2 linked regions of the Ovis aries genome follow. The protein of the gene in region 2 purifies or fractionates together with the protein of the main gene of each other region. This does not show direct contact. Links are inferred from orthologs where the notes say so. Each region holds a gene or a part of one and is shown on either strand. Other genes may lie near its edges. The genes, in order: SIRT5 and GLS.

What was found.
Region 1: the proteins of GLS (region 2) and SIRT5 purify together in Homo sapiens (affinity purification with western blotting; 3 studies listed by BioGRID and IntAct, with this or other methods). This does not show direct contact. The link is inferred for Ovis aries from reciprocal best matches to the Homo sapiens genes GLS and SIRT5.

The regions. Positions count from the first base shown.
Region 1 is NC_056073.1:42,239,439-42,252,316, reverse strand, and holds part of SIRT5 (NAD-dependent protein deacylase sirtuin-5, mitochondrial), read left to right. Parts: intron 1-18; exon of another isoform or gene 19-516; intron 517-4,372; 5' UTR 4,373-4,407; coding exon 4,408-4,522; intron 4,523-6,175; coding exon 6,176-6,309; intron 6,310-7,548; coding exon 7,549-7,774; exon of another isoform or gene 7,775-8,558; intron 8,559-8,644; exon of another isoform or gene 8,645-9,477; coding exon 9,478-9,565; exon of another isoform or gene 9,566-10,341; coding exon 10,342-10,395; exon of another isoform or gene 10,396-10,415; intron 10,416-11,696; coding exon 11,697-11,820; intron 11,821-12,232; exon of another isoform or gene 12,233-12,331; coding exon 12,332-12,447; intron 12,448-12,878. UniProt on the Homo sapiens protein: NAD-dependent lysine demalonylase, desuccinylase and deglutarylase that specifically removes malonyl, succinyl and glutaryl groups on target proteins.
Region 2 is NC_056055.1:193,134,417-193,147,294, reverse strand, and holds part of GLS (glutaminase kidney isoform, mitochondrial), read right to left. Parts: intron 6,207-12,878; coding exon 6,110-6,206; intron 5,755-6,109; coding exon 5,633-5,754; intron 1,257-5,632; coding exon 1,127-1,256; intron 158-1,126; coding exon 78-157; intron 1-77. UniProt on the Homo sapiens protein: Catalyzes the first reaction in the primary pathway for the renal catabolism of glutamine. Plays a role in maintaining acid-base homeostasis. Regulates the levels of the neurotransmitter glutamate, the main excitatory neurotransmitter in the brain.

The sequences.
Region 1 (12,878 bases), on a different chromosome or scaffold from region 2:
TCGCCGTGAAGGACGGGTGGCCCGGGGGACTCGGGGCAGGGTGTCCCCGTTGAGTAGAGGCCCTCCGGGCCCTGCTGCAGGCCGAGTGGCACTTGGGGCGGCCTGGACCGGGTGGTGGGCGTGGGAGGCGCGGCCGGGTTGGGACACAGTTGTAAAGCTGCAGTTGCTGGGGGTATATCAGGTTGTGTGAGTGTGAGACGTGAGCCAAAGGGAGAAGTGAGCCAAAGGGGGCCAAGGAGGATGGCTACCTAAGGCTTTTGGGGGAACGTTCAAGAGTTGAGGCTTGACTGTGAGCTGGGAGCCTTGTGTTGGACATCCGAGGCGGGGTGCACTGGTGAAGCCCGGGGAGGGTGAGCGATCCAGCCAGGTAGGAGGAAAACCAGGAGCAGCAAGAGGTTCCCCAAGAGGTGATCAAAGGGGTCAGAGGCTGGACCTGATCCAGGTGGACCGCTGGGTTTAGCAAGGTGGAGCGGGCTGGTGACTAGATAAGAGCCAGCGGTGAACTGGGGAGAGGAAGTGAGTCTCCCAGTGTTGATAGCTGGGGCCTGGTACTTCACATTTGTTTGACTCATAGGTGTTCAAAAAGTATTTATTGAACACCCTTGGGAGTTTTTGTAGTTCCCTCTCGATGTACTTTAATGTTTTGTAAATGCTTTTTCTCTCGAATTCCTCATATAACCTTACATTTGTTGTATTATTGTATTTTTAAGAATTGGGGTGCCCCCTTTCTCAACAGGGAACATAGAGACATTTTTCTGATTTTCTAACTGGGTAGGTGAGTTCCAGGTTTCCCAAAAAAGCCTGGTTAAGTGCGGATTGCCATTCACCGAGACTAATGTCAGTGTTTGAGAACCTATCCTGCACTCAGAAAGCTCCCAATGACTGGGATGAATGAGTTTATTTTCTTCCCTGAGGCCTTGCCACCTGAAAGTCAAATCAGGGCCAGATAATTGGAGGCTTTACCCAGGGCAGTTTTCACCCTGAGGGCTTTTGGACCAGACAAACTGATGTCTTCCTCCTCTGACTCAGCACAGTGGGGGCCTTCTTACCCTCCCGATATTTGCTTTGGCGTTTGAATTGGGTTGAGTTTGTGGCAGCTAGAACTACTGTCCATTCTGATCCCCCAGAAAAGCACATAAATATTGACACAGAGGATTCTTCTGATGAATACTTTGCAGTAGCATCTTGAAAATGTTTCTCAGGTGGCACAGTGGTAAAGAATCCGCCTGCCAATGCGGGAGACGCTGGCTGTATCCCTGGGTTGGGAAGATCGCCTGGAGAAGGAAATGGCAGCCTCTTGCAGTACTCTTGGCTGGAGAATTCCATGGACAGAGGAGCCCGGCTGGCTATAGTCCACGGGGTTGCAACTGAGCGACTAAACAGCAACAACAAAGCATATTGAAAATAGACTTCTGTTCTGAGTATTTACAAATCGTGGAGATAAATTTCAGGTGGCACTGTTCTAAAACAGTGTTTATTTAAAAAAATTTTTTTAAAGTTTTTTTTTTTTAAACCTTTACTTTGTTTTCACATTTATTGAGAGACTTGGAGAATATCTTGTAAATTAATGGAAAATTTAGCAAAACAGTTCCCACATTCATTAAAAAAAACTCATGTTTTTTTTGTCTTGTAAATGTTTTTTATTTAACATTACAGTTTCGACTTTTATCTAATTTCCAGTTGACGATCAGCAGCAGTCTGAAATACTCCAGCTTTTTAGTACCTTTTTAAGTTTTAACTATGAAACTAAAACTTACTGTTTTAGTTAAACTAAACTTGTAGTTTTTAACTACAAGGCTGAATAGTATTTCCCTGGATGAAATACATCCAGTGATGAACTATATCTGTTAATGGATGAACCACAGTTTTTATTTATCCATTCATAAGTTGATAGGCCTTTGACCTGCTATTATCTGATAGGCCTGTTGAACGTAACTAATTTCACAGGACACCAACATCAAACAAGGCTACACTGTAATCATGATGAATCAGGACAAAATAAGACTTCATAATTAGGTCTGACGTGAAGTTGCTCAGTCGTGTCCAACTCTTTGTGACCCCATGGACACCAGGCTCCTCCGTCCATGGGATTTTCTAGGCAAGAGTACTGGAGTGGGTTGCCATTTCCTTCTCCAGGGAACTTCCTGACCCAGGGATTGAACCCAGGTCTCCCACATTGTAGACAGACGCTTTCCGTCTAAATAAGAACTTTCTCTAAACCACGAAAATGATAAGACACCCTCCTATCCTGGCTAATAGGAGGGCCTGTTGCCTCTTGACCAATCCCAGCTCAAGCTTTACTTCACTCCCTCCTCTTTAGATCATGTTCCTTGAAATATCCAATAAAAGGAAACTTTTCCCAGACAACATCCAGTGTAGATCAGAGCCTCCTTCCATGACTCTCCCTGCTGCTGCTGCTAAGTCGCTTCAGTCGTGTCCAACTCTGTGGGACCCCACAGACGGCAGCCCGCCAGGCTCCTCCATCCCTGGGATTCTCCAGGCAAGAACGCTGGAGTGGGTTGCCATTTCCTTCTCCAACCCAACACAAGCCCAAATCCTGTTCTGAGTCCTAACTTCATCAAGACAGGCTTCCCTGGTGACTCACTGGTAAAGAATCTGCCTGCAATGCAGGAGATTCAGGTTCAATCCCTACGTTGGAAAGATCCGCTGGAGGAGGAAATGGCAACCCACTCTAGTATTCTTGCCAGGAAGTCCCATGGAGAGAGGGGCCTGGCGGACTACAGTCCATGGGGTTGCAAGAGACACACTACTTATCAACTAAGCCACCACCACCAAAGTCACCAATATGTCACCAGTATGCCTGCAGCCCCTCACCGTGAGCTTCTCCCTCCTTGCACTTGCTCAGCTACAGATGTGTCCCTAGACTTTTGCCGGAGAGCACTCACAATGCATAGAAACACATCTGCTGAAAATCCTTGCTTCCACTCTCATCTCCATACGTTCTGATTCTCATCCTCATTCTTGTTACTAATGTCTTGGGACCATTTTTTTTTTTTTTAAACACATGCAAATAAGTACTCTTTGCACTCTAGAATGTCATACAGGAAGAATCATACATGCATTCTTTGTTTACAGCAACCATGCTGTGTATTGTGAATGTGTCCTTGTTTATTGAACTCGTCCCCTGCAGATGGTCATGTAGGTTGTTCTAGACTCTTCCAAACAACAACTCTGTAGATACGTCACGTTGAAGGTGTGTGAGTCTCACTGTTGTAAAAATGTCCAGACGGGATTGCTAGGTCAAAGGGCAAGTGGATTTGTAATTTTGGTAAGTTGTCCTCCAAAGGGATTGTAAAATGTTGGGAAATGTGTTCTTTTTCTATTTTTCCTGTACCTACAAAACGTTAATCCTGAGTTCTTCCAACAATTTGCGTTCTTCCACTAGGTAAAAGTCAGATATGTCAGCTACCCTTTTGATGTCATGGATGTGAATATTGCCTTTCTCTGTGTCTTTGTCTTTCTCCGTTATCCCTGTCTAACTCCTCAGGGATAGATAAAGATTTAGTCAGTGTGCTTTAAGGCTCACAGATTTCTTTGACATGATCTCATCTTAATCCCATTTGTTGTTACGGTACATATCTTTCCGGCCTCGTTCAGTTCTCAGTTAGAATTTACATCCTCATAGAAACTGTATTTTGACTCAAAGTCAAGCCAATGGCTCTCATACCTTTTTAAAAAAGTATCAGAACCTGTTTTTCAAATGAATTTTCCCATCTAACTCCTTCCTAAACCTCTAAGGCTGTGGTTCTCAAACTTGAGTGTTCATCAAAATCACCTGGAGCCAGATGGGGGCCCTGCCTGAAGAGTTCCTGGTTCAGTGGGTCTGGAGTGGAGCCTATGACTTTACATTTCTGATGAGATCTCGGGATGATGCTGGTCTGGGAACCATACTTTGTAAACCACTCTACTAGGCACCTCAGAGCACTTAAGAGTCAGTCAGTCAATCAGTTCAGTCGCTCATTCATGTCCGACTCTTTGCAACCCCATGAATCGCAGCATGCGAGGCCTCCCTGTCCATCACCAACTCCCGGAATTCACTCAAACTCATGTCCATCCATGACTGGACTGCAGCCCACCAGTCTCCTCTGTCCATGGGGATTCTCCAGGCAAGAATACTGGAGTGGGTTGCTATGCCCTCCTCTAGGGGATCTTCCGGACCCAGGGATTGAACCCACACCTCTTTATAGCTCCCGAATTGGCAGGCCTGTTCTTTACCACTAGTGCTACCTGGGAAGCCCATATGGGTGTGTGTGTGTGTGTGTGTGTGTGTGTGTGTGTGTGTGTGTGTGTGTATTTGTAGAAATATGAACGTTTTCTGATTGTTTCTGTTTGTTTTGTGATTTTTCTAAAGTCCATCTCAATTGTTAGCGCAACACAGAAAACCTGATGCCACCTCTCTGGATCGTCCCGAACCGATTGTTTTCCCAGCTGTACTGTGGACTGAAGTCTCCAATCTCCACACAAACCAAGATTTGCCTAACAATGGCTCGTCCAAGTTCAAGTAGGTCTTTCATACACGGTGCCATCACCTCCCTCTGCAGCCCACTCCCTTCCTTCTCTCCATCACTGCTTTCATGTCTGAGGGGCGCTTGATTGGTCCAAGAGTTAGTTAGCCTTGGTCGCCACTGCCTCCTGGGGAGACCAGAGAGCCCGCTCCGTCAACTGAGGAGCCTGCTTCTGGTCTTGCTCAAACCTTCAGTGCCTTAGCACCGATTGGCTACACTTGGAAGGTGGCCTGTGCCCAGCAGACCCTGACTGGGTGGCCTGGGCCAGCCAGAGGCAATGTGGGTCCACACTGGCTTCTCCCGGCGTGGGCATGGAGGGGGCTCCCACAGCTTGTGAACCACTCAGGCCCGGCCAGCTGGGACACAACCTTTCCTTATCCCGCGCGCGAGGGCTGCAGAGCTGCAGCGCCCAGGACAGTGGGAGCCACAGGCGGTGCCAGGACCGAGTCTCCGCTGCAGGAGAGACAACGGCAGTTCCCATTCTGGCTCTTGATCCTTATCCTGGGATGATGATATTTGGCTCAGGCCACCTTGTGATGCCCAAGTGCTCGGTGCAGAGCCTGGACACAGGAAGCCCTCACGGAAGGCGAGCTGCTGCCCCCGTGGGTCTGAGCTTGGGCAGGAGGATGCCTGGAGATGGAGGGCCAGCCCTTGTGTCCTGGGGCACACGCTGCGGGCTGTGACCACGACTCCCTGCTGCCGAGTCATTCTGTGCGTTCAGTCCCTTTCCGTTACCCCAGGTCTCCGGGGCCGTCTTGTGAAAAAGACCAAGTCTCCCTGGAGCTGTAGAGGAGAGTGTGTCCAGAGTGGGATGGAGCATTTGTTCACGGGGAGGGGCCCTCGTCCTCACCGTGGTAGTGATGCTGAGGGAAACTGGAATTAGCAGGATCCTCCAAGGGAAGTGAATTTGGGGAGGAAGGGACGGCCTTTGGGGTCCAGTGGGCCTGAGGTCAGCCCTCATACCACACAAGCTTGCTTTTACTTTTAAGAAGGAAGATACATTCCCACTCGTGTGTGTGTGTATGTGTGCACGTGCGCGCTCGTGTGTGTGTGTGTGTGTGTGTGTGTGTGTGCGCTTAGTCAGTTTCGACTCTGCGACCCCATGGACTGTAGCCTGCCAGGCTCCTCTGTCCATGGGATTTCCCAGCCAAGAAGACTGGAGCAGGCTGCCATTTCCTTCTCCAGGGGATCTTCCCGACCCAGGGGTTGAACCCACGCCTCTTGCGTCTCCTGCATGGCAGGCAGGTTCTCTACCTCTGCGCCAGCTGGGAAGCCTTTTTTAATCCTCCCAGCAGCCCCGCTCTCTCAGGAAAGCACGCTTGTGCACATGAAACAGCTAAGGAGACCCAGACAGCAGAGGGTCAGCAGTTCACATAGGATCCCACTCGTGGGAGATGGTGGGGGTGGGGAGTGGGCAGATTGGGGCTCAGAGCTCGGGCTGTTCACCCCAGACCCCCGCCCCTTTCTGCAGACATCGTACTCTCACACATAAGGTGCATAGGGCCATCTTCATCGCATGGGAAGATTTTTATTTGGTTATCTTAAAAGTATAATTTCATGCAAGGTCAAGTTTCAAAATACAAGCAATTGAACTGGGACGTAAATGTCCAAATGAAACACTGGATTGACCAAGATTTTCCTCTCTTTAGATATGGCTGACTTCCGGAAGTGTTTTGCAAAAGCCAAGCACATAGTCGTCATTTCCGGGGCTGGCATCAGTGCTGAGAGTGGGGTTCCGACGTTCAGAGGAGAGGGAGGTTACTGGAGAAAATGGAAAGCCCAGGTTGGTAATGTTTCCAGAGCTCTGAAAAGCTCTTTCTGAATGAAGCCGTTTAACAGTTCGACTCAGGATCTCTATCAGAGGGGAATGTTTTGAAATTTTCTGTGACCCTTTTAGCCTGTTCTTTTTGGCATTGACACAAAGTCCATAGGGTTATAACCTCAGAAAAGCTGCCTCTTTTCTTTCTTTCTCGGCGTGTATTGATTATCCTTATTCAGATAGCAACTGGATTTCCTCTAGTAACCAAAGTGGAACCGGGAAACTTTGGTTAGCACAATTCATTACTTTTCTATTCATGTTGAAATTAAGAATTACACATTTTTAAAAAGTTCCTGTGAACTTTCCAAATGAAAACCAGTGTTGAGTTGTTAAAGGCTTAGGCCTTGATGCTCAAAACTTTGTACAAAGGTCATTAGAATATAAGTTCTCTGGGGGCATGGAGTTTTTAAAATTCCATTTTTATTGAGATATACATGCAATAAAAATCACCAATTTTGAGTGTACAGTTCAGTGAGTTTTGACAGATGTATATATAGTGGTACAGCTGCCACCACAGTCAAGATGTATAACATTTCTTTTTTTTTTTTACTTTATTTATTTTTATTTATTTATCTTGGCTACGCTGTGCACAGGTGGGATCTTTGTTCCTTCATCAGGGATCAAACCTGTGTCTCCTGCATTGGCAGGTGGATTCTTATCCACTGTACCACCAGGGAAGTTTGGAGGAATCGTACTTTTAAAAATATGTATTTTATATATCCTATTACTATAATATATACAACTTTTTTTTTTTTAATGTGTAGTTGTATGTGTGTGTGGACCTATAAAAACCCGAGTTTTCCTACTATGGCCATTATAGCTCAGTTGGGCGTTTTGCATTTTACTTTTCCTGGATAAATGAGATAGCCATCATGTCACGTGGAGCTCCATGAAAACGTGGCTTCCAGCCTAAGTTACCTTCCCATGTGTTGCTCTATGTTCATAGCTCACCTGAGTAGAAGATGGGACGGGTTACGATCTTGCTGGGGAAATTAAACCTAATTTCTCCAGGGCCCCTCAGGAGCCCCGGGGCCCCGCCCATGTGAACCTTCCCAGGACACCCCCTGGAACTGTGTGCCTGCTGCCCACAGCCAAGGGCACCTGGGAGTGTCCTCCCACCTAAGTCCAATGCCCCCGCGGCCCGGCTTCCAGAGCATCAGCCCTTCTTTCCCCCCTGACTCCTGCCTCCTGCCTGCCCCCCAGGACCTGGCCACGCCGCAGGCCTTCGCCCGGAACCCGTCCCAGGTGTGGGAGTTCTACCACTACCGGCGGGAGGTGGTGCAGAGCAAGGAGCCCAACGCTGGGCACCTGGCCATCGCCGAGTGCCAGGCCCGGCTGCACAGGCAGGGCCGACAGGTGGTGGTCATAACCCAGAACATCGACGAGCTGCACCGCAAGGCTGGCACCAGGAACCTTCTGGAAATCCATGGTGAGAGGCCCTTGGTCTTCATGGGAGGGGAAACCAGACCAGAAAACACATGTGCTGCTGGGGCCCAGCTGGGTCCACCGAGTCAAAGCAGCATGGTGCCAGGACCCCAGGGTCTGGCGTGCAGACTGCCTGGCCTGGAAAAGCCGGTCTGCATCCCTGCATGCTCTCCCCTCCCCGGGGGTCCTGTTGCGGGGGCCCTGTGCTCCCAGGTGGTCCCCACCCCACCCCCACCTGGGCGCTGGGAAGCGGGAGGTTTGGGCCGTTGAACAGCTGGGGCTCTAGCAGGATTCAGGCTGCGAAGGCCTGGCATCCCTGGGAGGTCCATTTACTCTCCCTGCCCTGCCCCTGCACCGTGGGCCCTGTCTGCTCCGGCTGTGTTCCTTCTCCACCCTGGAGCCTTAAGGGGGCTGCCAGCTCAGTGACCTTCCCTCCTGGGAGCCCACTGGGTCTGGTGACACCGAGGAGCTTGTCTGGGGTCCCTCTGGTTTCTCTTCTCTGCTTTCACTGACACCCTCCTCTTCCCTCTTCTCACTGAAAATCTAATGAATTTGTTCACACGAGAGCATAAATGGGTATGCCAGAATTTCTTCCCAAGGGCATTGGATAGTCTGTGACGCTGTGTTGAGCTGCTCAGTCGTGTCCAACTCTTTGCTACCGTTTGGACTGTAGCCCGCCAGGCTCCTCTGTGGGATTTCCCAGGAAAGAATCCTGGAGTGGGTTGCCATTTCCTCCTCTAGAGGACTGTCCTGACCCAGGGACTGAACCTGCATCTCCTGCATTGCAGGTAAATTCTTTACTGCTGAGCCATCCATAGAAGCCCTTTAATAGTCTACGAAAATTCAGTCCAAAGAAATGCATTTCAAATTGCAGAATTTCCAGAAGCAGTGACCCAGTGGGGCTCCACGCTCCCTTCCTCCAGCGTAACCATCTCCTCAGAAGATAAATCTCTGGATGGCCTGACCCTCATTATCCTTTTTGGCCAAACACTACTGCTGGAGGGACAGGATGCCACAATTAGACCAGTCTGGAACTTGTGCCCCAGCTTGTATTTGGGGAATGTGACTGACAGCTCCATCAGCTTGGCATGGGACAGAGGAGGGGGTTGGTTTCTCAAAGGAGGAGGCCTGGAGAGAATGGACCAGCGTGTGTCCCCTGCTGTGTGACCTGCTCAACGCTGACTATGTAGCGAACTGAGGTCACCTTCTATGGGTTAACTCAGTAAGTCTTTGCCAGTTTTAATGATTATTTTCTTCATTTGTTATTTGATTATTTATTGAGCTGCTTTTGTAGAAAAGATTCAAGCTTTACTAAGTCAATATTAAGATTTTGTAAAACATATCCCAAGCTACTGAGCCTACATCAGGCGTATTCTCAGAAAATCCTGCCCTTAGGCTTAGGTTGTCTTCTTCTACCCCGTTGCACATTTGGATTCCACCTGAACACCTGGGTGATCAGAGAGCTCCTTGGTCACGCAGTAACTTACTTCCTGTCCCTCTCTCCTTTCCTGATTACGAAGTCCAGGAGGGCATGTGTTCTGGCTTTTTCCATCTCACTACATGCCCTGAGGTTTCCCATGAGAGCTGGGATGGGTGCACTTGTTAAAGTGATGCATAGAAACTAAATCATTTTGTACTCTTTTAGACGTGGAGTCTGTTGCTCCCGATCATACTAAATTCCGGTCTTGTTCAACTTGGGTTTTTCAGGCAGCTTATTTAAGACTCGATGCACCTCTTGTGGAGTTGTGGCTGAGAACTATAAGAGTCCAATTTGTCCGGCTTTATCGGGAAAAGGGTGAGTATTCTGCACTCTGGAATAGGTGTGTGCTGTTTTGCCTCTTCAGTTGACTATAAACATGAAGAAATTGAACATTCGTCTATGACTCCCATGGATATTTATGAGACAAAGCTAGAGACAGTGCAGCTATATTGTAAGGGAAATATTTTGCTCATAGGTTACGGTAAGTGAAAATAACAGGCTCTAACTCTATACATTATTATCCCAGCTTTGTATTTAAACACACATCCACCCTCACCATGTTAACGTATCTGTATGTAGATAAACGTCCAGAAGAAAATCAACAACATATTAACAGGGACAGCAGGATTATGGCAATTTTGATTTACATCTTTCTGAACCTTCCAACATGTCTATGATGAACATTTACTATTGTAAACAGTATAATTGGGGGAAAAATTAAGAGTAGACTCAAAATATTGAGGAAAATTCTACCTAGCCATTGGTATAAGTTGTACAAGTAACTTATTAATATAATATCATTGCAGATGATTGAAATCGCAGTGACATATATGATGCAAATCATGAAACTCTCCTTAGCACAACAGTACTACACCCCCTCTCCCGTACATATTCCCTCGCTTGAGGTAGAACCACTGATAATCAATTGTTTGTGTCTACCCTCCTCATCCTCTTGTAAGCCAGTGTGTATTCATCAGAGGTTTTGTGCCATAGATGGCCAGGCAAAGAGACAATCTTTCTGGGTTATCTTATTTCTTTGTTCTTTGATTACATCAGTAACATTCTTCCTTTTCTAATATTATTTACTTCAGGGCTCCAGACCCCCAAACTCAAGATGCCGGAATTCCAGTGGAGAAACTGCCCCGGTGAGTAAAAAGACTTTGATCTGTGTTTGAAAAAAAAAAAAGAAAATTAGTAGGAGTCCAAATCTAAGTTCACTTGGAGATGCCTCTGAAAGATGCCAATGCAGAAACCAGCCCTGACCCATGAGGTCAAGGGTGAAAGGACAAAGGGTGAACCAAACCAGGCTTAAGAGAAGTACATCTGTCCTGTCCCTTTCTCCTCTGTGTTGTGGTGGGATCATTTGAGGTCTGGAACGTCTCAGAAGCCGCTGGTTGTAGACGTTCACCCTGCGTGTGTGAAGCGTGGCTGGCATCCCGGACCTAACTGGTCAGGAAGCCTCAGCTACTGTCCTCCTCCCCGTCTCCTCCTCATCAGTGTCACTAATCCAGGGCTATGGAGGCCGTAAGAGGTCTCACAGAGGTAAAGTTATGGGTCCGAGCAGAATTTGTGCAGATTAACAATAGCAAAAAAACTTGGAAAGATTTTTATGTCAGTGTTTCAAAACTTGACCTTAAAATGGCCTTTCCCAAAGCGTTTCATAGGGCAGTAGATCCGTGTGACGTTGGTAGGCACTACTCGGAGAAAAAAGATGTCACATGCCCAGATGAATATGGAACCACGAGAGTGAACCAAGTTTGAAGCATCTTGCTTCGCTGCAGAGCTACTCAGAGCACTGAATGTGTGAAAGTACCTTGTTACTCCCTAATGAGCAATTACACTTACATTTCCCTGGTTTACTGAACCTTTTGAATTTTTCTTAATAAGGATTTTCATTACTAAAATCAGAGTTTTGACCTAAAAGAGTAAGTTTTCATGACTAAATTCTAAAGTTTTGATCTAAAATAAACTTGATGAGGCAATTAATATGATGAAAATGGAGTTTGAGGGAGATTATTTTAGAATGTACATAAATACGTTGACTAGAGATGACCTAGGTTAGTAGCTCGTGAAAGATGAGAGATTTTGGGAAATTGACACAGGAGAACTTGGCTACCAACAAGGCAAGAGAGAGGTGAATTTGAGAGAAGATGAGGGAAGTCATTGATGACATTAGCAAGTGGTTTGTGTGTTGAAGGCAAATCTGAGTCCAGTAGTCCTCCTGGGTCCAGCTAACCGTGAGCACGGCTGTGCCTGAGTGGAAGGAAGTAGCTGGGAAAGAGAAAGCTATTTAGAAAAAGAAGGTCAAGGTTGGCTGAGACACATTCGCCAGCAAATCACCCCAGTGCATCCGGACACAATAGAGGCTACGATTTCTGCCGATCCACCTAGGCAGGCCTTCCCAAGAGTAGGTCTTGGGAGTGGGTTAAGGATGTCACTCTTACAGGTGTGAAGAGGCAGGATGCGGGGGCCTGCTGCGACCTCACGTGGTGTGGTTTGGAGAAAACCTGGACCCTGCCATTCTGGAGGAGGTGGACAAAGAGCTGGCCCTCTGTGACCTGTGTCTAGTGGTAAGTCACAGCCTTCCCTGATCTTTTCAAAGAGCAGAAACAACTAAAACTAATTTGGGTGATGATCAGATCATTTCTTTGCCACTCTTGCCACAAGCCCAAGCTCTCTTTTTCATACCAGGTAACTGGTGGTAAAGAACCTGCCTGCCAAGGCAGGAGACATGGGTTTGATCCCTGGGTCTGGAAGATCCCCTGAGAAGGAAATGGCAACCCACTCCAGTGTTCTTGCTGGGAAATTCCATGGACAAGGGGAGACAGGAGGGCTGCAGTCCATGGGGTTCTAAACAGTCAGACATGACTTGGTGTCTAAACATGAAAAAAATCCTTCCTAAATTCTAGGGATCAGCCAAAGGGGAGCCTCCCCATCCCCTCTTGTCCCCCAGACATTCTCCATTTATCCCGCCTAGCTTACCTTCCCTCACACCAGCAGCCGCAGACTGCAGGTTTTCTGCAAAGACGCTGCTTCTCCACCGTGTGGTCACTAGTGCACTTCCGTTTGTCTGCTCTGCAGGTCGGGACTTCCTCCGTGGTCTATCCCGCGGCCATGTTTGCCCCTCAGGTGTCAGCCCGTGGCGTGCCGGTGGCCGAATTCAACACGGAAACCACCCCGGCCACCAACAGATTCAGGTACGGGGTCACCGGGGTGGGAGGTGGACAGCGCTGAGCAGGTTTGGACGTGATCATCCAAGCAGATCTTACCTGCTGTCCTGGTTTTGTAACACAGAGTTCGTGTTTTCTTATTTGGTCTGTAGTTGCTTTGATGGAAGAAAACAACGTGCTATTTGTAGACTGAGGGAAGAAAGCATTAACTGTAGATTGAGGCAGCCATGTCTTTTTACAGGGAGTTTGCTGTAGGGTTTTTGTTTTCCACATTTTGAAAGTTCTTCTTTGACGCTTTAGACTTTACTTTTATTCATGCGTTGAAGCTAAGTATAGTAATGGCTTTTCGATGCCGGTCAGCTGAAGACTCAGCATGTAAGCCAGGGAGACACCCACATACAACTCCATCACCCACTGTTCTCCGTGGGGCTCCCTGGGCAAATTCCTCTCTGGTCTTA
Region 2 (12,878 bases):
CTACCTCATGCTCATTGTTATGTAGTGAGCAAATTTAAGTTTTAGAGCTGGTTTTGACGAATCTGAAATAAACTTACCTCTGTCCATCTACTGTACAAACGGATACACCCCACAAATCAGGGCTGAACTTAGCTAGTTGAGGAATATAATCTGCAACCTATCCAAAACAGTGGAAAGAAATCAACAGATAAAATATAAAATATTCTTTTCTATCAAAAAAATTTATCTTAATTTAGCTTCCACTAATGAACATTTTATAGTACTCAGTGGCTTTGTAGTGTATCTTTTATAACAATATTCATAAAAACTAAGAGCATAACAGACTTGAGGATTACAAGTGAGATCTAAGTGACCTCTCAGAGTCTCTGTCACCATCTGTTTTCTATTGCATTCTCTCTTCCTAGAAAAAAACACAGTCTAAGAGGAACTACGAATTAATTTTTTTTTTAAAGGGGAAAAAAACAAAATTTATTTAATCAGGGTCATGATAATAGGGTTTCATAATCTAAAAACTTTCAATATCGAGAATAAATAAAATAGCCCTTATATTATGCAGAGGATTTTAAAAACTGTAAACATTTTATTTAACATTTGAGGATATCATACCTACAGAAATTCCCAGGAAGTTATTTTTTAATTAATTAAAAATATAAAGGGTCACCTTAATTGTTTGAAAATCAAAAATATTTCTTTTTAATGAAAATAACAACCATAATATTTGAAACATTTTAAAAGCACTTAAAAAAAAAATACAAAAGCACTAAGCTTCCCTGGTGGTTCAGACAGTAAAGAATCTGCCTGCAATTCAGGAGACTTGGTTCAATCCCTGAGTCAGAAGATCCCCTGGAGAAGGAAATGGCTACCCACTCCAGTATTCTTGCCTGAGAATCCCATGGACAGAGGAGCCTGGCGGGCTACAGTCCATTGGATTGCTAAGAGTCAGACAAACTGAGCAATTTAAACTTCTGTTTACTTCTGTTACTCTAAAAGAACTTAATCCAGTGGCTTCACTTAAATTTCTTACTTAGCAAAACACAAAACCACGTAATTTTAGTCTCTACACCTCAAGTTTAGCTAAATTTATTCAATTATTGGTTTAGGAAAATATTCACGTCAAAAACATTACCTTTCCTCCAGACTGCTTTTTAGCACTCTCATATAATTCATCGATATGTGAAGTAAAAGACATAAAGTCAGGAATGACAAACTTTCTTCTAAAGGCTTGTGTCAACAAAACAATGTTGCTTTGAACACATCTGTGGAATATAAGAAAAAATTAGTACTTGCTAATAATAACAATATTAGGAAAATACTCAAACAATAAAGAAATTCAACATTTTAAACAAATTCTAGAAATTATACTCTTTGTACATTATTTTCTTTCCTCCAAGCACCCTTTCATGTAGCTGCTTGTAAGCTGTTGAACAAATTAAAGAAATAAATTAGATAGCCTAAAAACTGCATCAAAGACTAAAACAACAGAGCATTCCACCAGGTTAAGTACTAAGACCATCTAAAAACAAGACTTTTTCACCTACCAGATATGATAAACATTCAGCATGACATCTGGTTAACAAAAATCAGACTTTAATATATAGCTGAGATCCTTTTTATTTTTTCCATGAAATAACCTCAGACCTATGTCCCTTAAGAAAAAACTTCACGAAAAACTAAACATTCCGTATTTTAACATATTTTCTATAAATTAATTATGAAAATGTTGCATTTCTAAGCTAAAAACTTTGTTTAGTCAGATTTGTCTCTAACATAAAATACTTATTTAAATGCTTGCAAAAATAATGTTTAACTTTAAAAAATATGTATAATAGTATAATAATTTTATATTACTTGAATCACCAAAAATATTTACATTATTCTATGCACTGTTAAGATGTGTAACACACTGTAGAATAAAAATGTTTCACTGTTAAAAACTATTTAAATGATATGGTAAACCATGTGGATGGCAAAGCATGAAATCTAATAATTTGAATCAATATTCTGCCTTGTTTTAAAAGAGTTTAAGCTAGAAAATCAATTTATTAATATAACCCTAAAGAAGAGTTTTATAAATAGGTTAATAGCAACCATATACTCTAAGCTCATCTTAAGTGAGTCTCAGAAGCTCAAAAATAGAACAGTTAATCGATAAAGGAAGACACTGTAGACTTGAGCATCAAGCCGTTATACCAACTAAGACTAAGCCTGTAACAGACTAAAAAGTACTAAGCTTCAAGTACTATTTATCCTGTTTAACCCTCAAAAGATGAACCCTTTAAGAAGGTAATTTCCCCATTTTACAGATAAGAAAACTCTGTGTAACCTGCAAGTAAATACATGCACTAACTATAAAAGGAGAGCTGGAAAATAGACACTCTCAATTTTTCAGTCCATGGTAAATGATAAGTTTTTATCTCAGTATCTGAATTCAGATGTTCTAAATGAAATAGCAAATTAGAATTAAAAGCCAGATATCACATTTTAACTATCGACAAAAATCCAGAATATATACTCACTTGATCAACATAAAATTAAACACTGATTTAAAATAAAATAGGTTATTTTCAGTGATAAACACATGCTTTAATTACAACATGAAAAAGTTATAATCCTAATTTCCATTATTAATCTATACATGTAGAAATAACTGACATCTAAGAGATAATATTTACTTCAATAAACCAAAAAATTTTATGATAGTTTCAATGTTACCTAATATTGAGTTTTGTCACTGACTTAATATTTAATATGCATCAAACAGTAATTCAACTTGCACATGAGAGTTACAAGTAATATATAAGAAAGACATTTCTTAGAAGAAAAAACTTGATAATTCCTGATCTTAAATGGCTATTCTGTATCAAGTAAAATCTACATCCTCCTTCTTTCAAGAACTGTTGCATGAGAAAATATAAGGACTGTCAAACAAAAACTATTAACCTTACTACTATTTACCTATTCAAAATCAATCAGCATTTTTAAAAGGAGGTTTTATACAAAAACTGTACCGTCAGTGAAACTTGGATTTTTTTTTTTTTTTTACTCTATGAGAAGGTGCTGGTAAAGCCGTGCTAACAGCCTTCATTGGTGAATTACTGTGGCCAGTCAAGGCAATATCACTCAGAAGAGTGTCTAGCTGCATGATGAGGAGCATTCTAATCTGTAATTTTTTCTTGGGAGTTATTTTAATATGGATGTCATGAATCTAACTAGAAAATCAGAAGTCATATAAAGTAGAATGAAGAGTAAGTGTTTTATGATTTTCAACAAGTGACATCTTTCTCATGCTTTCTTTGTTCAGTTTTCTCATCCTAAACTGGTAAAAATAATTTTACTTTCCATTTTAACTTAAATGTTTATGATTAACAACTGTTATGCACATCTGTTTTATAGAATATTTCAAATATAATTTCTCATTAGTAAAATAACATAGTGGATAAGAATTTTCAAAGAAAAATCAAATAAATACAAAGACTATCACTCATTTTCTCCAAAACAAGATGATAAAAAAATTATGATCACACATGATAATACTTCTAATACTTACATGGCTAAAAATATATGAATAAATAAAGTATTCCTTTTCAACACAAATTTTCTACTTCTACTAAGACTATTAGCATTAAAATCAATCGAGTATCTAGATAGGTATAGGCAGTCTCCAACTTTCAAACAGACTATGCCCCAAAAAGTATGCATAGAACTTATTTTCCCATTTAAAGAAAAATTCTACATGCTTCTCAGATTACCCTCAAAGGCTGAATATATATACTAACAAGGTATTTTAGGTAAAATGTCAACACATTGACTTCAACCAAACCTTTTCATCTTTCTTTATAAATAACTTCTCTGGGAAAATGAATTCCATTGTAACATCTGCTTTTCCAGTTGCATGAAACTGAGATAGTTTATTTCTGGCAACACTAACTAGAAAACTTATTTTGAAAACAGAGAAAATACTTCTCTGAAGCAATCACCTTCCCAGGTGACCTGAAAAGGTTAGCGGTCAGAGGTTTTGAATCTCATTCTAGGAACAAAAAGAGAAATCATATGCCTATAGACATAAACTTTTCCACTGCCTGCTCACATAGACTACTAAGCATCTGTCAAGTTGGGAACTGCCTATATTACAATCATCAGGTTTTTTTTTTTTAAATTGGATTAGTGTTTAAAATAACGCTAATTGTTATTTTTAATACAGTAGAAAATTTTATGCTTTTCTGGTTGCTCAGTGTATTTAAATTAGTTTTTCAAATTTCATATTTAAACACAATAGTATGTTTATGAAGCACAAAAAAACCTTAACCAGTACTGAAAAGATATAAAATACTGCTTTCATGTAGGAATTCAAAGCAATTCCTCATACCCACAATCAATATACCTATATACCATGTCTTTGAATCAAGTCTGACAACTTTATTTTCAGATATACCGAAATAACTCCCCAGAAGGCACTCTGCACAGAGTTCATGATCACTAAAAATAAAATAATCTTACTGCAAAAATACAGCTAACTAGAAATTATTTCCTTCCCTTTACAAAGAACAGGTTCAGAAGACCCAAAATTCCTAACATCAATTCCAACATGAACCTAAAATCTACATTTTATAAGGTCAGCAGAGTTAATAGCATCAAGAACCATGTGGTGAAAAGACGGAGATCTAAAATTGGCAGCACTCACTGCTTCATGGTATGCCAAGACACTTGGAAGGATCTCAGTTAAATACTTATACCTTCAGATGACTTAATATTCTAGGATACTTCAGCAGATATCTAGAACAAATCATCTAGCCCCCAAAAGACAATAAAATAAAAAATATATAAAAATACATACATACAAATAAACTTTCAAGGTAGATGCTGGAATTCTTTTCAACCTAAGCTTATAGTCAGGAAAAAGCCAAGGTTTAACAGTAGTGTTTACAGTTTTATTTTAGTTCTCACTCAAGTTCAGTTGTAAAATACCATATACTTCCTTGGGTTCCATGACAAACTTGTCTATCAAATTATTAAGCAATCAAACTAGTAGGAACACATTAAAGAAAGTAAAGATTGGCAAATATAGGAAAATAAAAATATTCTCATTCAAGCAAATCAAGGCATTAATGTCCAAAGTTAGCATTAAGTTTTTAGATATTCTGAAAAAAAAAAAAAAAAAGCCTATGCAGTAAGCCTATGTTTGCTGCAAGAGAAAAGCAGACAATGGAGACATGTAAACCTAATGAATGCAGGCTGCCTTCCCATTTTATGATGTCATCTAAATCAACTTGTAGAAAAGAAACAGAGACCATGCTGAGAAAGGCTGCAAGATATGCAGATGAATTAGAGATCAATTTAAACAGGACAGAGTGTGTTCCATTCAAACTGAATGCAATCTCCAGGTATTATTAATTGAAAACATCCATGGCTACATTTCCTCAGAACAGTTTCAAGGTATACTCTTAGCCCCAGTATATTACAGAACTTTAATGTGCACAAAGTTGTTCTAAGCAACTGATGTTCATCAATGCCCTCCCCTCTTTTTTCAATTACACAGGAAGCACTGGCTTTCAAAGATGCAATTTTGTTCTAAAAGAAAAAAACACCACATAGCACAGCAAATGACCATTAATGGTTTGGCAGAAATTTTTACTTTTTAAAAAGATCTTTGTCTAGCATGACACCATCTGATGTTGTTTGAAGAGTTAATCTTAACATATCCATACACTCTTTCAACCTGGGATCAGACGTTCGCAATCCTGTAGATTTGAGTGCCTGTTTTTAAAAAAATAAGAGTCTGTAAATACATAGTGCAAATAATGTATATGCTTATTCCAACTACAAGTTTTTAATTCCTGTATTTAAAAACTTCTACCCAAGACCTGAATACATATATATATGGCATTTTAGTGTCACTATTACCCTCTTTCTGGAAAAGTTTTTCATTGTTTCTTTCATTTCCTTTCATTGATTACCTTGAAATGAGCATGATGAAAATTTGAAAATAAGAGAAATAGTGTCAGTCAGAATCTACATGTCAGATGACTTTAAAACTCCATAGCAATATCACCATATATTGATTCATATTACTGATTTTTAACAGTTAGGATAGAAAAATGTAAAAACTTACTGTAATAAATTTATGAACAGGTATTTTCTCTTGTCCTTCTGCAATTGTATAGAACAGCAAATCTTCCAAACTAGGTAACAGACCCTGTTTTATTTTACTAAAGAGGAAAAAAAAAAACACAAAATTAACTCTTATGTGAACTTTCAAGTAGATTTTAGCTACATCCATTTAAAAATAATCAATGAAGCCGATTACAGTTGATCGATTCCTCAAGACCTACTATCATACCAATAAATGCCGATTTACCAAAATCAAACAATATTACTGAAACCACATTGAGAAGCACGTTTAAAACATGTTCATTAATTTACACAGATATTTTGTAATCCTAAATCATCTGTTATGGTGATTTCTTCCTGTACAGCCTAATATACAATCACCCAATACAGCCTAGAAAATGTTCAGGTAAGAGTCAATATTTCATTGTTATCATTGTTTTTTTATAGGATGATTATACATATGTAACGGAGAAGGCAATGGTGACTCACTCCAGTACTCTTGCCTGGAAAATCCCATGGATGGAGGAGCCTGGCAGGCTGCAGTTCACGGGGTCGCGAACAGTCGGACACGATTGAGTGACTTCACTTTTTCACTTTCATGCACTGGAGAAGGAACTGGCAACCCACTCCAGTGTTTTTGCCTGGAGAATCCCAGGGACGGGATTCCATGGGGTCGCACAGAGTCAGACACAACTGAAGAGACTTAGCAGCAGCAGCATACATATGTAAAACATGGTTATGGTTTAGTTGCTAAATTGTGTCTGATTTTTTGCAACTCTATGTACTAAAGCCTGCCAGGCTCCTCTGTTTATGGGATTTGCCAGGCAAGAACACTGGTTTGTCATTTCCTTCTCCAGGAATCTTCCAGACCCAGGAAGTGAACCCAGGTCTCTTGCATTGCAGGCAGATTTATTACTGACTGAGCTTTGAGGGAATCCTTGAATATAACACATATATTATAGTCATATATTTGTTATAAACAGTTATATAAAGATATAGTTCAAATAATTAACCTGATTGTAAAATCTGTGGAACAGAGTAATTAAGAAAAGCTTAGTGTACAAGTTCTCAAGCTATAATATTTACTAGTCAAGTCACCTTGGGTAAACTAACTTTTCTGTGATTCAGTTTCCTCATCTGAGAAAGAGAGATGTGAGTTGACTTAACACATTCAATACCCTCAGTGCCCTGCTTGGCAGAAAGTACTCAATTGTCAATAGTTGTAGTGACTATTTCTAAAGTGACCTAGGCTTACATATACACATCAAATGCCACAAATCATAAAGACTGTTAGAATAAATGTTACCATAAAAAATATATTTAAACCTTAATTAACTAATAAACTGGTATAAGATGCTGCTGCTGCGTTGCTTCAGTTGTGTCCGACTGTGTGCGACCTCGTAGACGGCAGCCCATCAGGGTCCACCATCCCTGGGATTCTTCAAGCAAGAACACTGTGGAGTGGGTTGCCATTTCCTTCTCCAATGCATGAAAGTGAAAAGTGAAAATGAAGTCGCTCAGTCGTGTTCAACTCTTAGCGACCCCATGGACTGCAGCCTACCAGGCTCCTCTGTCCATGGGATTTTCCAGGCAAGAGTACTGCAGTGGGGTGCCATTGCCTTCTCCGGGTATAAGATGCTATGATTAACCAAATTAATCGAGAAAAAATTTTTTCCTATTCATTGCAAAGTTTTGAGATAAAACTATAATGAACCTATAAATATTTTCTTTTGGGGAGCTCTGAAACTGAAATGAACACAGCTTAATATTCTGAACATTCATGACTGTCATATGTATTATAGTGATAAGAATTATAGATCTAGGGTAGACCAATCCCCTCCCCACCCATCACTATTTTTTAAAATCAAAGGTACAAATATATGCATGTATTTGTATGTATGTGTATATAAAATGTCTGGAAAGGGCTTTACCTTTATTTCAAGAAACAGAAAATTAGAGAGTGGTCCATATATTTCTATTTTAAAAGACAACAGAATACAGCGTCGGCTCACAGTGTATGTACATTTACACATGCACATATAAAATTCTCCTCAAAGAAACACTAATGTTGGCATTAATGTCACTTATACTGTTTTCAAAGCTATCATACCAGCTTCTTGTTTTTCAAGTCAACCCTAAAGTACAAGAATTTCATGCCAATGTTTTAAAAAAAATAACATATAGGATTATTGTAATTTAAACATATATCCTGGATATATAATTACTCCTTAAAACAATCTTGGCTCTTAAGAGAAATTTTTAAAATATATTTGGGATATTTTAATTATAAGAGTTAAAAATTATGGATAACTTTTGTTAAGTATTCTGATTAGCTATTTTACATGCGTTCTAGTTCAATCCCTACAATGATGACAAAAAATACTATTATGCAAAATGAAGTATGGTTCCTGGTACAGAGTGGATGCTCAATATATTTACTGTTTGACCAAAAAAAAAAAAAAAAAAACCAGGCTGACTCTGTCCCCATTTCTCAGAGGCTCAGACTGGTCAACAAACTTTCCAAGACTGCACAGTGGTAGAGATATATTTAGAAACCTTGTTCCTCTGAATTCAGAGTCCAAAATATATGCCTCTACAGTTTTGCTGGCTCTCAAACCTACTAGCTAGTAATTACTGTTATAAGGTATGATTTTTCTAGATCTTCAATCCTGATCTAAAACCATTAAGCAGCATTCAACAGTACTGATGACTTAATATTTAAAGAAAAATTGAGCCAGCTGTCAAAAACAATCAGTGGAAAATAACATACCAATTATTTACAGAAAATGGCTTGTTAAGTAAACTTCAGATAGTGGTAGTTATCACTTTAAAAAACTGCAGAATAAGCTTTCCATGTATTTACAACACCAGTAAATGGTATTTGCTTTGCCTAAAAGCTATGTAAGTAACATAAAATATACAGTTCTTTAGCTTATGGTAGATAGGGCAAAGAATTTAAAATGACCATGTTTATAGACACAGCTAACATAAAAGGCTAAATATTTACTTACTTTTGGACAAGAGAGTAATTGTTATCCATTGGAGAGAGATTTAAGTCATCCCTAGAATACTATGCTCACAAAATAAATAATAAATATAAATGTATAAAAGAGTTCAAAATTGATTTTAAAAAAAATCTACCAATCTGAGCATTTAAAAGCTCAGACTCTGATCTGAAAATGAATTTACTTCAATAGTCTGGGGAACAAATGCAAAGGTTCTCCCCAAACTTTCAACTACACATAAATTACCCCAAAGACCTTTCCTGATATTCCCGCCACTTCTTTCCCCAGGATTCCCTGGTGGCTCAGATGGTAAAGAGCCTGCCTGCAATGCAGGACACCCAGGTTGAATCCCTGGGTCAGGAAAATCCCTTGGAGAAGGGAATGGCTATCCACTCCAGCATTCCTGCATGAAGAATTGCAAGGACAGAGAAGTCTGGTAAGCCACTGTTCATGAGGTTACAGTGTCAGACACAACTGAGCAACTAACACTTTCTTTCCCCAAATTTAATACCATTTTGTGGCACTGCTTAATGATATTATACTTCACCACTGAAACTCAAATGCTAAAAACTGTAGTTTTTGGAATATATAGTAACTAGGATATTTTTGAGAAGTGTTTAAGTTTTAATGACCAAAAAAAACCAGATCATAACAGGAGTATGCCAAGACTGCGTATACTGTCACCCTGCTTATTTAATTTATATGCAGATTACATCATAAGAAATGCTGGACTGGAATAAGCATATACTGGAATCTAAATTGCTAGGAGAAATATCAATAACCTCAGATATGCAGATGATACCACCCTTATGACAGAAAGTGAAGAGGAACTAAAAAGATTCCTGATGAAAATGAAAGAGGAGGGTGAAAATGTTGGCTTAAAGCTCGACATTCAAAAAACGAAGATCATGGCATCTGGTCCCATCACTTCATGGGAAATAGATGGGGAAACAGTGGAAACAGTGTCAGACTTTATTTTGGGGGGCTCCAAAATCACTGCAGATGGTGACTGCAGCCATGAAATTAAAAGATGCTTACTCCTTGGAAGGAAAGTTATGACCAACCTTGATAGCATATTCAAAAGCAGAGACATTAGTTTGCCAACAAAGGTCCATCTAGTCAAGGCTATGGTTTTTCCAATGGTCATGTATGGATGTGAGAGTTGGACTGTGAAGAAAGCTGAGCGCTGAAGAATTGCTGCTTTTGAACTGTGGTGTTGGAGAAGACTCTTGAGAGTCCCTTGGACTGCAAGGAGATCCAACCAGTCTATTCTAAAGGAGATCAGTCCTGGGTGTTCATTGGAAGGACTGATGCTAACTAAAGCTGAAACTCCAATACTTTGGCCACCTCATGCAAAGAGTTGACTCATTGGAAAAGGCTCTGATGCTGGGAGGGACTAGGGACAGGAGAAGGGGACGACAGAGGATAAGATGGTTGAATGGCATCACCGACTTGATGGACCTGAGTATGGGTAAACTCCAGGAGTTGACGATGGGCGGGGAGGCCTGGCGTTCTGTGATTCATGGGGTCGCCCAGAGTCGAACACGACTGAGCAAGTGAACTGAACTGAACAGGTTTTCAAATTATAGTACCAACAACTGGTGATAAGCCCTCAGATTCTGTTGGGGGAAAAAACATGAAATAGTTACAACACTCAGCAACTAAAATGGGTATACATAGATGTTCAAACTCCAAGAAAAGTTCTTCTTTTATACTTTAAAAAATTTTCCCTTTTATTCTCCCTCATTTCCTTTTTGACTTTTGCCTTTATGATTTTTCACCAACATGAAATAGTTATAACACTCAACAACTAAAATGGGTATACATAGAAGATGTGCAAATTCAAAGAAGTGCTTGTTTTGTACTTTTAAAATTCTTCCCTTTTATTCTCCCTATTGTCCTTTCTAATTTTTGCCTTTAAGATCTTTTCACCATCATTATGTTCCTTCTTTTACCCCTTCCTTCTCCTACTTTACCTTCTCAAAATATCTGCCTAAAACATAGAAATTTCTTTAAAAAAAAAAAAAAAAAGAAAAATCCCATGTATTTAACTGGCATTTATAACATGTACAGCATTATACTAGTCCCTACTTACAATCTAAAAAGGTAGGAGAAGACATACATAATGAGGAATTACAAGAAACAAACAATGGGATCCAATCACTGGAAAATTATTCACTATGAACTAATAAGGTAGTTTCGGGGGAGGATGGAATTTGAGCTAGACTTAAAAGATGGGTAGGAGCTGGAAATATGGCAACAGAAGAGGACTATCAGCAAAGGAAACAGAATGACCACAGCAATGAAAGTAAACATTCACTAGGTATTTACAAAGAACAGCAAGTAGCCAGAGCATAGGATATATGAATTAGGGTGCCTGTTTCTACCCACAAGCTGTTAAAATGCCTAATTTTCAGGGCTGAGAGTTATATATAAATGAACCAATAAATGAGGAGACTACCAAAAATTTCTGTCCTTTATTGAGCCCATCTTTGCCTGAAATGTTTCTTTGGTATCTCTAATTTTCTTGAAGAGATCTCTCGTCTTTCCCATTCTATTCTTTCCCTCTCTTTCTTTGCATTGATTGCTGAGGAAGGCTTTCTTATCTCTCCTTGCTATTCTTTGGAACTCTGCATTCAGATGCTTATATCTTTCCTTCTCTCCTTTGCTTTTCACTTTTCTTCACAGCTATTTGTAAGCCCTCTCCAGGCGCCATTTTGCTTTTTTTGCATTTCTTTTCTATGAGGATGGTCTTGATCCCTGTCTCCTGTACAATGTCACAAACCTCCTTCCATAGTTCATCAGGCACTCTGTCTATCAGGTCTAGTCCCTTAAATCTATTTCTCACTTCCACTGTATAATAAGGGATTTGATTTAGGTCACTCATACCTGAATGGTCTAGTGGTTTTCCCTACTTTTTTCAATTTAAACCTGAATTTGTCAATAAGGAGTTCATGATCTGAGCCACAGTCAGCTCCCGGTCTTGTTTTTGCTGACTGTATAGAGCTTCTCCATCTTTGGCTGCAAAGAATATAATCAATCTGATTTCAGTGTTGACCATCTGGTGATGTTCATGTGTAGAGTCTTCTCTTGTGTTGTTGGAAGAGGGTGTTTGCTATGACTAGTGCATTTTCTTGGCAAAACTCGATTAGTCTTTGCCTTGCTTCATTCCGTATTCCAAGGCCAAATTTGCCTGTTACCCTAGGTGTTTCTTGACTTCCTACTTTTGCGTTCCAGTCCCCTATAATGAAAAGGACATCTTTTCTGGGTGTTAGTTCTAAAAGTTCTTGTAGGTCTTCATAGGACCGTTCAACTTCAGCTTCTTCAGCATTAACGGTCGGGGCACAGACTTGAATTACTGTGATATTGAATGGTTTGCCTTGAAAACAAACAGATCATTCTGTCGTTTTGAGACTGCATCCAAGTACTGCATTTTGGACTCTTTTGTTGACCATGATGGCTACACAATTTCTTCTAAGGGATTCCTGCCCACAGTAGTAGATATAATGGTCATTTGAGTTAAATTCACCCATTCCAGTCCATTTTAGTTCACTGATTCCTAGAATGTCGACGTTCATTCTTGCCATCTCTTGTTTGACCACTTCCAATTTGCCTTGATTCATGGACCTAACATTCCTATGCAATATTGCTCTTTACAGAAATGGTATGGACCTAACAGAAGCAGAAGAGATTAAGAAGAGGTGGCAAGAATACACAGAAGAACTGTACAATAAAGATCTTCATGACCAAGATAATCACAATGGT